Linked DNA regions of Stegostoma tigrinum. Each later gene encodes a partner of the first gene's protein in a complex. Links are inferred from orthologs where the notes say so. Each region holds a gene or a part of one and is shown in the gene's direction. Other genes may lie near its edges.

Region 1 (3,925 bases):
TCCATGGTTAACAGATATTGATGTCATTGTTGTAAAGGTGATTGGCCAACCTAGTCAGAGTGCCAGGTTTGAGTGGACAATGTCCTCACTTGATTTGTGCCATTGGCTTTTTTGACAGTGATACGTGGTCTACCCTCCGACAAATCTCACACTTGCTAATGGGATCATAGATCATAGAATAGAAGCCCTGCAGTGTGGAAACAGGCCCTTTGGCCCAACAAGTCCAATCCAACCCTCAGAGCACCCCACCCAGACTCATCCCACTATAACCCACCTAATCTACACATCATTGAAAACTACAGGCAATTTAGCATGGCCAATTCACCTAACCTGCACATCTTTGGGCTGTGGGAAGAAACTGGAGCACCCCGAAGAAACCCACACAGACATGGGGAGAATGTGCAAATTCCACACAGACAGTTGCCGGAGGCTGGAATTGAACCCAGGTCCCTGGTACTGTGAGGATGCAGTGTTAACCTCTGTGCCACCGTGCTGCCCCTTATTGACCCTCCACACAGAGTCTTGCTTTTTTGGTTAGTGGAGGAGGGTGGGTGGGAGACACTATAAGTGTAGTGTTTCGGGTTTTGCCACTGCCAGAACGATTTTACCTTCCCAGCAATCCCCTCACACTCTCTCTCAACTCCTGCTGCTGAACAAATGAGCATCCATTACCCGATCGGCGGGTAAATGCAAGCCTCAATCTCTTGCCCATTGTCCAGTGCCATCATATCCCAAATAATCTGACTTTTCATGAGCTCATTTTCCTGTATGGCACTCTTCAGATGCATCTTCAACCGTTCTGGCTTTTACTGTTCCTTCCACAGTATTGTTGTGATCAGCAGATTCCAAACCATCCTTCACATAGGCATCAAACATGGCCTTTTCCCATGTTTGTTTCCATGGTTCAGTTCCCCACAGGGGCTTTCCAGCAATTTTCCAGTTGTGTCTGAACGGGCATCCTTCTCAACCTTGCTCCTGTATTGTGTGCTGTGCGCTGTTTTTGCCTGCAGATAAAATGGGTGAAAGATAACAATTCCCTTTGATTATTACGCTACGAAATTAGCATACACCCACTGCTTTGAATATTTCTTGTGTGTGTGTGTATATATATATAGATTTTAACTTCCATGGAATGTAACATTGAAATAATAAGAAAGTTGCAATACCCTGCAAAAACAATGTTATAGCATCACCTAGAGTAAAAGTCATGTAATATACAGCATTTTCTGTACCCTTGGATATTTAGATGCCTCATATCCAATTGCATTTCTGTTCCCAAGCGAATACAGCACCACTACACCCACGCCCATTAAAAATAGTGCACAGAAGATCTATGCAACAAAGAGGTAGAGGACTCGCTTGCTGCTCTTACTCTTCTCACGTTGGATTTTGCATCTTCCACAAGCCATTGAAGAACTGTAAAGAGGGAAAAAAAATCCAAGCGCAAAGACTGTGTAATTGAGGTGGTTCTAACCGGTGGACATCTGATTCCAAGATCTTTGGCAGAGCGTCTGAGAGCAAATCACTGCTGCTCATCAAATAAAGCATTTGAGGAGGAAATACAAGCAATAGGTAAATAGGTATATTTATAACAAATGATGTTATGAATCAAATCTTAAAGCTGCAAATGTACAGATAAAGATATTACTGTACAGGTTGACACCTCAGTGATGGTGCAGAAATTCACACCTGTTATTTACTCAGTGTCTTCAAAATAGTGGTGCCAGTGGCCTATCAGAGATTATTTGAATAGCATATATAATATGCTAGTCAATTGCTGTTTACGAATGTGATTTTAGTCTTAGAAAACAAATACAGAATCTGATGCCCCTCAGTAGTTCAGCAATATGTATGTACCTGTATCTTATTTGGCCATTTAAAGAAGGAGAGTTCGATCTTTGCGTGATCTGCATTGAGATAGCCATTCCAAATCAAGGCTGTGAGATGACTGAGAGGATTCACTCACAGTTTCCATTTCAGTGCTGATCACTGATCAGGGATCCCTGTTGGAATGTACGTACCCAGGTACTTTAGGTAACAATAGCATTGAGCTAAGATGCTGAAGTGTACACAAATGGATCTGGAGCATCAAATGCCCAAATCCTCCTGGTCAAGAAAATTTCACAAAGATTATTTGCTAAAAGGAAACAAGAAGTTAAAGCTTTCTACCTTGCACTAATCAGGACTCAATTCAAGAAACGGACTTAGAAAAAGGGACACTAATTTATATAATGTGAAGAGAATGCGGATTGGCTGTGCCATCATGAACCTGGAGAAGCAGCAGGAACAGTTGACTGTCAATCTTTGTTCTTGGACCAGGTGGTAGACCCTGATTGTTTAGGGTGTTGCCATGGAAATATAGTAGAGACTGGGAGTCTCCATGATCCTTTCCTGTTCAACAAGAAAACTGCAATGGATGGATGAATTCCATTTCCATAAAACAAGGTCCTGCATAACAGTGTGCGTCACTTCAAGCTGATGAAACTTCATGATAATCTTGAATCGGTTCCCTGTGTAATTCTTAGCACAGTCCCATCATTTATTAAATGACATCCACAGCAGACGCATATCAAGAGTGGATATAACATTTTAAGGCTTGTAAGTACAGGATGGTTGAGAATCTTGAAAAATCAGAGTCTCCCTGCCTGGTCTAAGAATTAATGATGCCCTACAAAATCAGAAATTGCTGGAAAATCTCAGGAGGTCTGGCAGCATCTGTGGAGACAAAGCAGAGTTTACGTTTCTGGTCCAGTGATCCTTCTTCGATGATGCCCTGATGAGCACAAAAATGAAAAGAATTGATTTCTTGTCTTTGTTTAGCAATGTTTAGTTCCTGGACTACCAATGTGAGTTTTTTTTTAGGAACCTCATTTCAAACATATGTTCAGCTTATTAAAATATTTTCTGAAGCTGAATTTAGAACATGAGCATAGTTCACAAACAACAACATAAAAGTCATAATAAACTGCATGTTATTTTTCAGCTGAAATGGTAAATCCTGCAGTGACAAAGGGAAGAATATATTAATAGCTACTGAAAAAGAGTGACTCAGCAGGTGGAATCTAATTTCTGGCTTCAGATGGCAAAACATGATTCTTTTCCCTCACTGTTGATGACTTTCATCTGAACTGATACCTGCTACACAGAAAATAGATGGAGTATCATTTTCACCACGTGAATTCTAATTTTTAATCCCTTTGTTTGTGTTTTCTAACTTGCCCCACCAGATCTTTTTACTAAAATTGACAGAAAATCATTCATCTTTCTGACAGATGCGTGTATGGCTGCCATAATGAATGCAGTGTTGAGATGGACATGAACTTATAAAGGAAAGTTAAAGCAAAAAGGCAAATCAGCTAAGTGAATAGAACTTGTGGGTTCTTTAATGGCAAGCACATATTTTTATAGCGTGCTATGAATGGGATCGATTTTATTCAAAAACTGGAGATTACTCTTTAAGAATCAATATGGATGAAATTAGGTTTTCTTGGATCAAGTTAAAATGGAAACAACTTGGAAAATCTATTGATTAAAAGCTAATTTTTCAGATGTAGATGTAATGGCAATATTAATACTATTGAAAGAATTACTGTTAACTCCAACACAATTATCTCTGATGTGGCTGTAGGCATCTTAAAGGTAGAGATTGAAACAAGCAGTTGGAAAAAACATAGGACATTGCTGATTAGCTTGCATTTTGTTGTAAATCAACATTAAACTGCTAGAAACTTGCAAGCAGACCCACTGTTAAAAGTGTTACATGCAAAACCGATCCTTCATTTTAGCATTTCTTGGAGTCTTTTTCCTGTAATGCTCCTTCTCTTAAAAGCTTTATTCAACACAGCCCTGCCTCTGACAAAGGAAGCACTTTAACTAAGCTCACTCAGCTGTTCCTTCTTCTAATTAGTTCACTCTGGTGAAATGT
Region 2 (3,925 bases), on another chromosome or scaffold:
CCTCTCACTTTGTTCGAAGTAAGGACTCTTTGTCCAGCATTTTGAAAGCTGTGTCTCACACATTCACTTAGCACAGCATCGTCACCCAAAACAATACACTTCCTGATGGTCCTGCCAACTATTTTGAGCATTTGCAGTTCTTATCTGAATTTCAAACAATAACTTCAGTAACAGCTGGCAGGAGGGCAGAATAATTCGTTTTACTTCATCCGTCACCCATTTCTCTTTTTCTTTTATATTGACTCCCTACTTGCTGTTACAATGCAGCAAGTGTGCAGTGTATCAAATAGTTACAAGGAATGTAGTTCTCCAATAATAGTCTAATCACTTGCATTTAACATTCCACACCATCATCATACTGGGGTTTTACCGCTGACTAAAAACTGATTTAAACCAGCTCCAAGCATAGGTCAGAATCTAGGAACCCTGCAGTGAGTAACTCATCTCCTGACTCCCCAAAGCCTGTATATCATCTACAAGGCACAAGTAAGGAGTGGGATGGAAATAAGCCCCACTTGTCTGGATGGGTGCAGCCCCAAAAACACTCAAAAAGCTCGACACCATCCAGGACAAAGCAACCTGCTTGCTTGGCACCACTTCCACTCCCTCCACATCCGACACACAGTAGCAACAGTGCGTACCATCTACAGGACATACCGCAACGACTCACAAAGCCTCCTTCAATGGCACTTCACAAACCTGTTGGCTCTACCACTTCCAAGGACAAGGGGAACAGATGGGCGGGAACACCTCCACCTGCAGGTACCCCCTCCAAACCATTCACCATCCTCACTTGGAAACATAGCACCGTTAAGCGTAGCTGGGTCAAAATCCTAGAACTGCCTGACAGCACTGTGGGTATACCCACGCCAAAACAAAAAGGGCTGCAGTGATTTAAGAAGGAAGCTCACCGCCACTTTCTTAATGGGAGGTAGGGATGGGCGATGAATGCTGACCCAGGCAGAGACGCCCACATTCCTGCGAATTAATAAATCGAAACTAACATAAACATGGAAAATGCAAGCTAAGGAGGCGGGCTTTTGGACCACATAGCAGGAGCGCTCTCTGGCTCCCAGGCAGAGACAGAGTCATATGATTGGATTTAATCAGAAGCCGCTGGAAGAGGTTGGTTTATGCATGAGGAGCTGGCATTGTGGCTGTGCTGCTGTAGAACATTCCCTGTCACCGCGATAATGACAATGATGCAGAGGTTGGAGAAGACGGTGCCGGTTTTATTCCCACTGCCGATGGTGTAGAGAAGGTTTCGCTGCTGTTGTGTTCGGATACACATACAAACACAGACACCCAGAGCCTGTGTGTGTGCGGACCATGGCAGAGCGATGCTCCGGGAGCCCGGCCCCGGAATGCGGTGCCCAGGCGGACTCTCAGGACCCGGAATCCCAGGAGCTGTCCCTGGAGCAAATCCTTAAACTGTACAACCAGCCGCTGAATGAGGAGCAGGCTTGGGCCGTGTGCTACCAATGTTGCAGCAGCCTGCAGCGCCAGCGGCGGCCCGGAGACACGCAGCTATTCCCGGGCAGGCTGAGCGGAGCCAGGACTGTCATTCTGCTGCGAGACGGCAACATCAGCATCAGGAGCGAGGAAGCAGGTACGAGACGCCCCGGAAAGAACAACGAGAGCAGGAGCTGAGTATGGAAGTGAAACGTCTTGACAGGAGTGGGGTGGGGGTTGGGGAGGGCTGTCAGTCCCCCTGAATCTCCAGCAAATAAATAAATAGATAAATAGGAAAGGATGAGGGGTGGAAATCGACAGCTGGCGGAGAAGGAAGCTGAAAAATAAAGCGGACTTTATTCAGTAAATTTTCAAGTCGGTGGTGAAGGAGCTAGAGTGGTCTGTTCTCCAAAAAGGCGAGAGGTTGGGAAGGAGGAGTCAGTACTGGGCCCTTTGATGAGAACACAGCTCCTTAGGCGGGTGGGGAAGGATGATATTAGAGCCAACGATATCCACATTCTCTCTCTTCAAGAGAGAGAGAGAGAAGCCACGAAAGTCTGGCGAAACAGGCACGGCGTCAGTGAGCACCAGCAGGGGCTTTGCTGCATTGTTGACAGTGAGAGTCTCTGACTGACTGAGCCAACAAGGTCAGCGGAGCCGCGGGTAAACAAGCTGCAGCCGAGAAGGTCCAATCAAAATTCACAATCGGAGACCTTCATGGACCAGTAAAAAGGCAGGGCGATGCCTGGGTGAAAAAAAACAGGAAAATACCTATCATTAGAAATAAACTGTTGCTGACAAATGATTTTTTAAAAATAATTCATCCATGTGAAATGAATGCCGCTTGGAATTTATTACTCGTCCCCCTATTTGTCCAGAGGGCAAAGAGCCAACCACATTGCCGTGGGTTTGGATTCATATGTAGGTCAGACCGGATAAGGGTGGAAGATTTCATCCTCTAAAGGACATTTGTGGATTTCCCCTGACAATCGACATATTGGCAAACTTTTTATTCCTGATTTTTTAGTGAATTCAGAGTTCATCCTTTACTGCGGTGGAATTTGAACGTGTGTGGCCAGAACATTAGCTAGGAGCTCTGTCCAGTGATATTGCCAATATGCCACTACCTCCCCAAAGTAATAACAAACAAATATAAACACTGATATGTCAAAAATAAAGTTGTGGATTGAAAATACACAGAAGAGTTTGAGGAAAAACAGATAATGCAGCCATCTGAATTGAAAGTAAGAACAGGCCTGGACACAGCCATGCATTTGCATGGCATGACTGCACTGCATTTCAGGATAAGCACATGAATTCCCTGGAATATAAACTGAATTTGCCTCACCCAGTTAATGACTAGCTCTGATCATAATGATTAGCTACGCTCCATAAGGCAGCTCACTGTAGGAACTTACTGGCTATGACCTGCATCTTTTACGGCATATTTAACACAATTGTTGTAAAACAAGAAGTAATAACTGGCCCAGGAGCAGCCTGAAGATGGTTGAGGGAATCGTTGAGCACAACTAAACTCAGGTTTTTGAGAGATAGAAAGATTGGCGGAGAACATACTAGGCCTAATAAGCCTGAAAACAGTGTTGGGTTGGAGGATGAAGGGATGCTAAAGAGGAGTTGAATATAGGCACAACACTTTGATTCTATTAATTTACCTCATATACCTGAAGTCTTTTTAATTGCCCTCGCTTCATAATCTCTTGAGATCTCCAGTCAGGAAAATTTCAACTGACCCAGCTTTTGACAGTCTTTTGAGGGAGTGGATCAGTGATACTCAATAACTTATGTGGGGAACGTGTTTCCTGGTTTCAGTCCTGTATGATCTAACTTCAAGAGCATGCTCCTTGTTCTGGATTTTTGTTTATTGGTGTGAGCCTCTTTAGAGAGCTTACTGGAGAGTATGTATCATCCGTAATCCCAGAGATGGTGATTATGAAGCACCAATGTAACTTCATAGGGCATTTCAAAGGTAGTTAAGAGTCAATAGGGGAGGCAATGACCTAGTTGTATTATCACTGGACTGTTAATCCAGAGACCCAGATAATATCCTGGGGACCCGGGTTTGAATCCCGCCACGGCAGATGGTGGAATTTGAATTCAATAAAATATCTGGAATTAAGAATCTAATGAGCATCAATCCATTTTTGGTTGTTGGAACAAACTCATCTGGCTCGTTAATGACCTTTAGGGAAGGAAATTGCCATCCTTACCTTGTCTGGCCTCCATGCCCATAGCAATGTGGTTAACTCTGAACTGCCATCTAGGCAATTAGGGATGGACAATAAATACTGCCTAGTCAGCAATGCCCTCATGCCATCTAGGCAATTAGGGATGGGCATTAAATACTGCCTAGTCAGCAATGCCCTCATCCTACTAATGAATAAAGGGAAAAAAATACACATTGATGTGGTTTGGGAGTCATATGTCGGCCAGACCAGGTAAGGATGGCAGATTT

Evidence for each region.
Region 2: the proteins of fmn2b (region 1) and protein spire homolog 1-like are in contact, whole or in part, in a crystal structure (PDB 2YLE), measured with the Homo sapiens proteins. The link is inferred for Stegostoma tigrinum from reciprocal best matches to the Homo sapiens genes FMN2 and SPIRE1. Residues at the interface, in NP_064450.3 of Homo sapiens: Ser1702, Leu1703, Lys1705, Ile1706, Lys1707, Pro1708, Arg1709, His1710, Gly1713, Ile1714, Lys1715, Lys1717, Ile1718, Lys1721, Thr1722; in NP_001122098.1 of Homo sapiens: Gln51, Pro52, Ile53, Asn54, Glu127, Ile131, Tyr134, Lys135, Asp138, Leu141, Lys142, Glu143, Asn144, Glu145, Glu146, Arg147, Glu148, Glu154, Ile157, Asp158, Ala161, Asn162, Thr163, Val164, Glu165.

What each region holds. Positions count from the first base shown.
Region 1 is NC_081362.1:76,939,455-76,943,379, reverse strand, and holds the start of fmn2b (formin-2), read left to right. Parts: upstream 1-1,373; 5' UTR 1,374-1,572; intron 1,573-3,925. UniProt on the Homo sapiens protein: Actin-binding protein that is involved in actin cytoskeleton assembly and reorganization. Acts as an actin nucleation factor and promotes assembly of actin filaments together with SPIRE1 and SPIRE2.
Region 2 is NC_081358.1:117,566,064-117,569,988, reverse strand, and holds the start of protein spire homolog 1-like, read left to right. Parts: upstream 1-1,077; 5' UTR 1,078-1,329; coding exon 1,330-1,609; intron 1,610-3,925.